Linked DNA regions of Drosophila melanogaster. The protein of the gene in region 2 interacts with the protein of the main gene of each other region in a pairwise test. Each region holds a gene or a part of one and is shown on either strand. Other genes may lie near its edges.

The links.
Region 1: the proteins of CG15803 (region 2) and Map205 interact in a two-hybrid assay, tested with the Drosophila melanogaster proteins (one large-scale study listed by BioGRID).

The regions. Positions count from the first base shown.
Region 1 is NT_033777.3:32,065,231-32,070,303, forward strand, and holds the start of Map205 (Microtubule-associated protein 205), read right to left. Parts: upstream 3,212-5,073; 5' UTR 2,767-3,211; coding exon 1,099-2,766; intron 1-1,098. UniProt on the Drosophila melanogaster protein: May play an important role in the regulation of microtubule assembly and interaction.
Region 2 is NT_033777.3:18,357,463-18,362,486, forward strand, and holds the start of CG15803 (uncharacterized protein), read right to left. Parts: upstream 3,267-5,024; 5' UTR 3,056-3,266; intron 1-3,055. Other genes in the region: hmw (hemingway), read left to right, coding at 4,664-4,867, 4,940-5,024.

The DNA.
Region 1 (5,073 bases), about 14 Mb from region 2:
TGCATTAAAGTCTCAATTGGGACTTGCAACGAAGCGAAAAGACTGCTACTTCTTGCAGCGGTTGGCAACGCCATTAGCTTTTCATTGTTGGAGCTAGAAGTTTTGCTACTCAGATTGCAGACTCAAAGAGAAAGAGAGCTGGCGAGAGAGCTAAACTTCATTCGAACTCAGCTCATCGAAATCTTAAAAACGAACGAAAACCAAACATAAAAATAGGAATTTCGGGTAACAGTTTATTAGTTTACGTTTTAATATATATTTATGGGACACAGGAAATAACCTTTAACTTAAGGCTTTTAATAACACCTGTACATTAGTATAAGGAAGGAAAAAAACCCTTTTACCTATATTACTTAGGATTGCAAACATTCCCAATATAACTTTGTACTGTACATTGCCACTGCAACAATCTAAGTTTTTTAGACTAATATAAGGACAAACCTTTAACTTTAGAAATAAAAAAAGACATAACACCAAATAAATACAAAACTCTGTCTTACTCAAAACCCAACACCATATTCCATTCAATGGAAACACTTGCATGTCCTGTTGGGTGTAAAAATTGAGTAACACACGTCCAACAACAAAAAGCAACCCCACCCAAATGCAAAAAACAAAGGGAGAGCGTAGGAAACAGCAATGTCGACAGTGCCGCGAGAGCGAGCCAAATGACGCACCCCAGGACAAAATAAAATTTAAAAAGAGCACACCTCAATAATCATTAAAACAGAATTTAATTAATACTATGCAGCAATCATCAGAAAGAACATTACTAAGTATGCAAAACAAACAAAAGTAGTTATGAAGTTATAAACTAGGCTGCGCATTAAAAGTTAAAACTTTGAATCTAAATACTACTCATTTGTAATCGAATAAATGATTGATTTTAAAAAAAGTAAGCCCCAAAAGAAAGAGAGTTATAAGGAGAGTTTGGGAATGAATGAAGTCCACAGGCGCTGTAGCGTATCATGCACATGCGATGTTCAAACACAAAAGAGTATAACAACAAAGTTAATAATTTATCTTAGAAACTTGTGATTTCAAATGAAGTGTGTATAATAATAGATCTTGCAAATTTGCTCATGATTTTTAGCTTACCTGTAGAGGAGCTTGAGATGAAACAACCCCAAAGAAATGGGATTCCGGATCCAACGTGTACTCCTCAACTAGCTCCTTGGTGTCTTCAACCAGATGTTTCTCTGCAGTGGAAGAAAGGGGCGAAGGTGTGATGTCTACAATGCCAGCTTGCTGGGATTCCAGCTCCAATTTCGCCACAGGCGAGTCTGCTTCGGAGCTCAACTGGGGTGCACTGGTGTCTAGCAATAAACTCTGGTCGGCAAAAATATCAGAGCACTCAGCGGGAAGCTGCATTTGCTCCTGGCAGCCCTCTTGAGCCTTTTGAGAGGTATGTTCCAAATAAAATGAAGCCTGCATTGGATCCTGCTCAGTGTTATTGAATAATGTGTGCGATTCCTGATTGTTTGGGAAGTCGGACTGAAACTGGAGCTCCTCTGTAGAAGGCGACTTCGAGACATGTTCTTTCTCTTCCACATGAATTAGTTCCTTATCGTCACAAGTCTGAATTGGCAAAGGTTGCACGGAATTTAAGATATCTTCAATGGAGGAGTTGTGCTCGGCATAAATCGATTGTTTCATGATGTCGGCGTCGTTGGGCACCTGATCTAGTGGCAACTCCATATCGACACTTGTCTCTGGACCGTGATCCAGAACATCCCTTAAGGCTGCTTGGTCAGCGGTTCCTATACCGTTCAACAACTGCATCTCCAGGTGTCCTGCCCCAAAAGTGTCCGATTCCTGCTCCAACTCGTGGGGTCGCATATCCGCTTCAATGTCAAATTCCCGCTCGTCGGGCACGGCAATACCATCCATGTTGATTCGGGCGAATTCTTTCCGCGGACTTTCCGCCACCAAATCGTCAAGGGTCCCTCCCGGTAGAAATGGGCGGGGCTGAACACCAGGTAGTGGATCTTCAGCAGCAGGAAGGGGAGAGGATGATTGTGAGCCAACGCCAGGCACAAAGGCCACAGCATTGGGGTTTAGCTGCGAGTGGTTTTCTTCCAGGTTTTTAACAAAATAGGAGTTTTCCTTGTTGTCGAAGTCCACTAACTGCTCTTGACCAACCGTTTGGGCCACCATAACGACCTCCTCCTGATCTAAAGGCGAGGAGTTGTTCTCACTGAGACTGCTTGTTCCATAAGTAGTGGCCACGGAGCTGTGCTCATCCTCATCTTCCTGACGGGGATCCTCGTGAACACCTTGTGATTCTATCTGCTGCTGCTGTTGAAGCTGCTCCGGCAACTGGTTTGGCTCCTGGGCCTGCCTGGCAACTACCTCGTCCGTTGAAGTAGTGGTGTTAGAATTTGTCGAGAAGTCACCATCGTTCTTGATCACTTCCACGTCCTCTTCGTACAGATTGAAGACAGCGGCAGCTCCGTTTCCGTGAACTTGATTATCTGAGTCCCGTCCGGGCCCGAAGCCATTGCCGGTTTCCTTTGTCAGTGGAAGCTTTTCCTGTTGAAGCTTTTCACTCTGCCGCACCTCGTGTATGTACTTCCACTCCTCGTCTTCTTCCCCGTCGACTTCGTCCGACTTTGAGGGCGCAATGCCAGGAGCGCAGCCGTTCCCCCCAGTAGCGTCTGCCAGATGAGGATTATGCTCGCCGGCGCCTCCGCAAATTTGCAGACTTTCGGCCAGGCGGTTCTGCAAGTAGTTGTCCAACTGCGCGTTGTCCTCGTGGTGTTCCATCCTTTAGGATTTAATTGGTATAAATGATGCGCCAACAGAAACAGGTATTTTTGTAGAGAGATGATTCAGATTGCTCGTGATTCACGCGCCACTGCGTTTTTTTTCTCGATTCCACTTTTATTGGCGTTGCTGTTCTTGCAGATTTCTACACTCACACCAATACACACACTCTCCCAGCGAAAGAGAGACACAGTACAGGAACGGATAAGAGCACGATTTCGTTGCTTGTCCTTCCACTTCCTTCGCCTTTGCTTGCACTCCAAGTATATAATTACTTGTCGAAATAAACACAGCTTGCCGAGCCCGTTAGTCTTTTTATTTTTCTTTCAGAGATTTTAGTAAGTTATTCCCTTTTTTGTTCGCTCCGGTTGCTCTTACTTTTGAATTGCTTGCCGACCAATTTTTGCGCACACCCACCCTGACGAAAAAACGAAATATGAACGTACTTGGCTTGTCTTGAAATACCGACAGTGGATCGTTTGTTAAAATACTGAATGATATCTTTTAGTATATATAAGATATCGATAGCTCGATTAATACTAAATGACAGGTTTTTTGTCGAACGGTCTGTCCTCAGTATTTTCACGCAATCCGGGAACAAGATATCGGTTCGTCGATACTTCGATAAGTTGATTGGTATTATAGCTCTATTAATACTAACGTCCAGTAGATTTTGTCCAACGGTCTGTCCACAGTATATTTACTTATTATCAGCAGGAGGATATATTAAATCGCACAATAAGTCCCTTTCAGTTGACGTTATAATAAATACTCATTAAATAATCAACAAGCGGCTGTAAATTATATGGTTTTAACCATTTTTGGCTAAATATAAAATAAAAAACGGCTAGAAAGTTGAGTTCTTTAATTTTTTTAAGAATGATATTAATCGTAAGGCTTTAGGCTATACAAAATTTATTTTAGCTCTTCGGCTTGATATTATTTTATAAAAAGCTGTGTCGTGTTCTCGATACTAAGGTTATGCCCCACGGTCCCCTTTGCGGTGCTTGATATGTCGGCACAAGAGAAAATCGATTACCGTAGGACAGTCAGATTTCATAGAGCTAAGGCAAACGGAACATTGGCATATCAGTTCTAAAGCGTTTTTTTTTATTCTTTTATCGATTGGATTTGCTTGCTCCCTTTTATTGCCCGATTTCGCCTAAAAAATTTGCAATTAATTTTTGTCTCGTCTTACATACGGCTACGAGGATGTTTTATTTATTTTTGTCTCGTCTTACATACGGCTACGAGGATTTTTTATTTATTTTTAGACTTAGCATTTTATCAAATAATCTACGGCTACGAGGATGTTGTATTTATTTTTAGACTTAGCATTTTATCAAATAATCTGTAAGAGCATAATACACCCCCTTCCTCATTTTAACATGCTAGCTGCGAAAGGTTTTTATAACGTTACTCGTAGAGTAAGAGGGTATACTAGATTCGTTGAAAAGTATGTAACAGGCAGAAGGAAGCGTTTCCGAACATATAAAGTATATATATTCTTGATCAGGATCAATAGCCGAGTCGAACTGGCCATGTCCGACTGTCCGTCTTATTGTCCGCGTGAGAGTCTCGATCTCAGAAACTATTAAAGCTAGAAGGTTGAGATGAAGCATACAGATTCTAGAAACGAAGACACAGCGGAAGTTTGTTGACCCATGCTGCCACGCCCACTCTAAAGCCCACAAGCCGCACAAAACTGCCACGCCCAATCTTTTAAAAATTTGTTGATATCATTTTACATTTTTATTTGTCTTGGCAATGTCTATCGACGTGCAACCAATTTTTTGCCAAAAAAAATGTATAAAAATTTACACGACCAACAAAATTATGAAATAATATCCAACAATTTTTTTAAAAATGTGGTCGTGGTAGTTCTAGGTGGTTTTAGATCTTTAGAGTGGGCGTGTCAAAAAGTTTTTGGCGAATCGATAGAACTTTACAAGACTAATAAAATTATGAAAAAATATCCAAAAGTTGTTTAAAAGCTCTGCTCGTTGCAGTTTTGGGGGGTTTTGTGGGCGTTAGGGTGGTCTCTAGAATCTGTATGCTTCATCTCAACCTTCTAGCTTTAATGGTTCCTAAGGTCTCGACGTTCATACGAACAGACGGACTGGGCTAGATCGACTTGGATCTTGATCCTGATCAAGAATATATATACTTTATATAGTCGGAAACGTTTCCTTCTGTCTGTTACATAATTTTCAACGAAAATAGTATACCCTTATAATCTATGAGTAACGGGTATAAAAACAGCAAGAGTGATCAGCAAATAGGCATTGACTTTTATATTTTATACTG
Region 2 (5,024 bases):
AAGTCGGTCTTTGTTTTTATGACATGGCAATAAAAGCAGTTGAAAAGTAAACAAAATAAATCGCTTAAAGAGATTAAAAACATGTTTGTATTAAAAAAAAAACAATGTACAGTTGCTTGTGTAAAAATGACGTTGTATAAATATATTAACCAAAATTATACATCATTTGCATAGTAGATTTAAAATTCAGATCATAGCTCCTATTTTATTCTGCCTGTTGTGCGCTCCAATTATGTTTGTTATGTTAGTACTGATAAATTAGGGAATTTCTTAAGATTTCTTCATTAAGCCATAGTATATTTCTTCCATTCAATTAACTACTTCATATTTACAGTGTTTGCACACAACTCTGACGCCAACCTTTGAAATCATTAATCAAAAATACTTCCCAAACGGATTTTGTTCGGTCAAGTCCTCCACTCGCCGGAGGAGCACTAAAGTCCTGCATCATAGCACATAGCAACAGGACGCAGGAGCGTAACCGAAACCAAATCCTGTTCAGTGGGTTGCCGGTTTAATTGTTGTTTCCGAGTGCGCTCAATGGGCGGCTTTCGGGGATCGGGCCATTGTTGGCCGTATCTGGCAGTGACTGCAGCTGTCAATTAAACGCTGATTGACTTTGCATTCGCAGGACACGGATTGGCGCACGATGCGTATGATTAACGCCGCTTGTTCTGAGTCCTCCTCCTCACAACTCACTCTTACTCGATTCCCCGTCACCGCAACTTTTCACTCTGTGCCTTCGGTTTGGTCATTTGCTGTAGCGGGAACACCACCCTCTGGATTTTACACTGAGAAAAGTTTAGTGTCTCAAATACCAGCTATTTGCTTCATAAAATTGCAATTCAAATATTCATTACCTATTTCAAAATGTGCAAACTTTAGAATAAATTGCTTTAACTGCTTACTCTCATTCACACCTTTTGTATAAGAACATTCCACATATAATTATCTTAGAAAGCAACATTATCTAAAGAAGTTTTCAAAATGTAATTAGTAAAATATTGGAGAGAAACAATAAAAGTTCTTTTCCCTATCGGGTTGCTTTGTTTTTCCCCATGTACTTGCGAGTGTGCTTCATTTAACTTGGTTGCGGTGGTCGGAGGCACTGGAAAGTGGTCTGTGGCAAGGCGAAGCCAAGTGAGCTGGGACGGAGCTGGAGGAACAGGACCAACAGCAGTTGACGTCCCAAGCCCATTACCAGGAAAAGTAGGCCAAGCGCGTTTGAAGTTGCCACTGCGTTGGTGTGTGTGTGTGAGTGTGTGTGTGAGCCACCAAGCTGCTATTTTTGTACGCCTCAAGTAGAGCCAGCGGTTCGGTCTTCCCTCTCGCTCGCATAGCTCGTTCCATCTCTTTCTAGGCTGTGAATGTGCCTGTGCCAGTTTTCGGTTTCGTTTCAGCCCGCCGTTGGCCACTGTTGCTTCTAACGCACTTCAAACTGCCGCGGCGCTGACCTACTGAGCATTATTAGCCGGCTCACGGCTCGAGTTTTGGCCCAAAGTCCCGACGTCAGTCAAGCGTCAAAAATCGATAAGCAAAAAAAATAGAGCGGCAACGTGGAAGGTTAGCCCCAAGTCGAAAACGAAGTTTTGCATACCCTTGAAACTCAGCCAAGTCATTAGTTATGTTAAAGCCAAACGAGGGAATATGTCTAAATCGGGTTATCCCCTTTACATCAAAGTAAATTTGATTAACTTCAGTCTTTCCTGATCTAAGTTTACACATATCTTACTTTAAAAAAACAGATATCTATAAAAAATTCAGTAGCCTATAAAAAAGACAAATATCCACTCAAAACCATACCAAATATACACGTTTATTTTGGTTAACAATTAAAGTAAACTGAAAAAGTAGCCTATAAAAAAGGCTAAATGGTAAACTTTATCGTGTTTCGCTTTCACTGAACATTCGAGCCACAACCGCAAAATGATTTAGCGAGCAAAAGCAAAGTTTGTTGCACGTAGGATGCATCAATTAAAATGATAATAAATTTATTAAATTCATTTCCTTCAAAAAGTGATGACCGTGCTATTTAAGTTTTATGTTTTATATTTTATTGTTTTGTCGTACAATTTGTTTGAGTAAAAACATCCGGCTGCAGAAGTTAACAAAAAACTAAGTAAATAATGTGGTTCGTAAATCGATTGAAAAATCCGACGGCGATTCACTATTTTTTCTGTTATTCAAAACAATTTCGCAACACATCTGGTTTACTTATTATAGCTATTAAGTTGATTTTTAAACGCTGTGCTATTTGTTTAAACGCAGTGCTATTTCTATCACAACTCTTCGCAATTACAGGGTATTTGGCGGCTTAACGGATGTGTTTCCATCCACCCATGGCCAAGCCGATCCGTGCCAAGACTTGCGGATGCCGGAGCTGGAGCTGGAGCTCTTGGTCTAGCCGCATTGACTGCGGCTCTTGGCCGGGTTGGTGGATTCGAGTCGGAGATCTCAGGTTGTAGGTTGCAGATTGTGGGTTGTGGGTTGGCGGCTGCGGCTGTTTGCTGGTGTCGTGTGGCTGCGCCTTTTGACCCACCTAGCCGCCCCCGCAACCCCCGCGGCCGTCACAAGCTCTTAGCCAAATTGCTGCAGCCCGAAAAGAGAGATGGGGCGCGGAAGAGAGAGGGAGAGCGAGCGAGCGAGGAAACGGAAATAACTTGTAAACTTGCGGCACGCAATTTGCAATTACTTAGGCGACTGTTGCAAAGGAACATCAACCAACGCATGCAAAGGACAAAGGCAAGAGCGACTGCCAAAAAGTGAAACTTCCCTCAACTATTTGCTATTGATTAAACAACTAAAACGGCAAATGGAAGCAGAATTTGCGTATATGCCGTATACACCGTATGTTGCCGTTATAAAAGCTGGTCAAGATTGCGTATACGCCGCTTATTCCACTCTTGCGCTTGATTTTACAAGCCCATATTGCGTATACGCCGCACGTTCCACTCATTTTTTTCGTAAGCGTTTTTAAAGCCGTTGACGCTTGAAGGGCTTGTCACCGGTTATTCAGTTGGCCTAGTTGTTGACTTTTCTTAGCCACGCTAATTACCCGCACTGGCTGGCCAGTCGATGGGCCAGCAAACGATTTCCGCTACGATACCGTGCCACTTCATTCACGCACTCCACAAACACAGGCACATGGCACGCTACACACTTGCTGGTTTGCTCTGCCAATTTTCCCGTTGCGGGCCACAATTTTCACACACATCTATCACGGTTTACGCGCGCATTTTCCGGCTCAGCAACACGCCCGCACGCCACGAAGCTTCTTGGCCAAATGAATTGCCCGCTGGCCAACAGCAGCCGCTTCGCTCAAAGCGAGGAAATCCAGGGGGGAATCGTACCCACGAGGGGGCCACTCTCAACGCCCATGCGCACTGCCTTATGGCCACATGACTCTGGAGAGGATTTGAAGCAGCGATTCGGGAGCACTGCCATCGCCGCTCGCAATATTTACAATTTGCAACTGGCAGGCGGCGGATTTCGACGCCGCTTCGCCTTTCATTCAACTGTCAGATTTCGTGAGAGTCACTCAGAGAAAATACCCCGAGAATGGAGTCGCTGGGCGAGGGAGAGAAAGTGCTGGAGCGCAAGTTCCTGACCACAGAGGCGGCGCCACATGGAGCTAATGGGGATTCTTAATTGTTTAAGATATTTGAAAATGCATAGCAGGAAATAATGGTTTAGTTTACCAAGTAGAAGAAATAAAATCACCAAGATATACTAACTATTATAGATATATGTATGGATTAATATTTATTGTTCAGAGTTTATTATTGCACTTTATAATACATTTATGACCAAGTTAGAAAATCCAATCTTCAATTTCAATTTCCTAACTTTTAATCCATTAAGCATATGAATCATTGGGCTTTAAACTTGTAATTCTTAAGCTAGTGGTTAAAAGTAATATGGTCTTGAGAAAAAAGAAATATATAAACACAAATCAATATTATATATCCGGCAAAAAGTTCTAGTGTTCGCAGCTTAAACCCGGTGCTTAAAAAGTAAATCCGCTATATACTTGCTGAATAACTTTTGTATTATTTCAATATCACTTTATATCAATTTCCAGTGCTGTTGGTTAATTTATTCAGTGTTTTCCATAATTAACGCAACAAGAGCCGGCAAAGTGCTGCTGAGGCAACCAACAACAAACCGCCTGCGCCTGCTCTGTTGCCCAGGACAACCGCTGGCTAGAATAAATAAATTCCCAGGTGTCAAGTGGTGGGTGCTGCGACGAGGGGTTAGCGGTGGGCATGCGGACTCCGCTCACCTGAGCTCCAGTCGACGGTTGGCAGCGCCACCGCAATGCAACCAAGGAGTCAAAGTTGAGCCAAGAAGCGCGGTATGCGCCCAGTTTTTCCAACTTGGGGTAGACCGGAGACGGAGGAGCACCTGCCCCAATGTGGGCGCAAAGGTGTCAATCATAAGAGCGCATCGAAATGGCTGCAAAATCAAACTCAGTGAACAAATAGCAACTACTCAAGCTGAAATCAAAATTCAAAGTTTGAAAGGCCTAGGAGTTTCGGCAGTTCTCAGTACAAACTAAAGAAAAACACACGGGTGACAACGCTAATACCCCAAAAAAAACAAAATACACTACAAACGACGAAAGGAACTTAATCAGAGAACCGACGAAGAATAAGCATACAGGATGTCGGGGGCTGGAGAACACTCAGATGAAGAGTCCTATGGAGAGGAGTCCTTCGAGGAGGACTCGGAGTCGGAGGTGGAGGTGGAGGAAGAAGAGATTGAGTATATTGAGCCAGAGGAGTCAAAACCAAGTGACGCTCTTCTGTTGGGGGAGAGCGACACCCAAAGCGAGAGCGATGTGAAAGAAGAGTTTCTTAGCGGCAACGTAAGTCCTCCTCACCAGGAGCTGACTATTTCCGAGTTCAGCCTTAATCCGCAACCTGCATCGCGCCCACAGCCACACGCCCGTCGCTATTTGGGCGCCCGAGTGGTGTCCTACCTGAGTTCCTCCTCTGACGACGAAAGCCAAGTGGTCATCACCA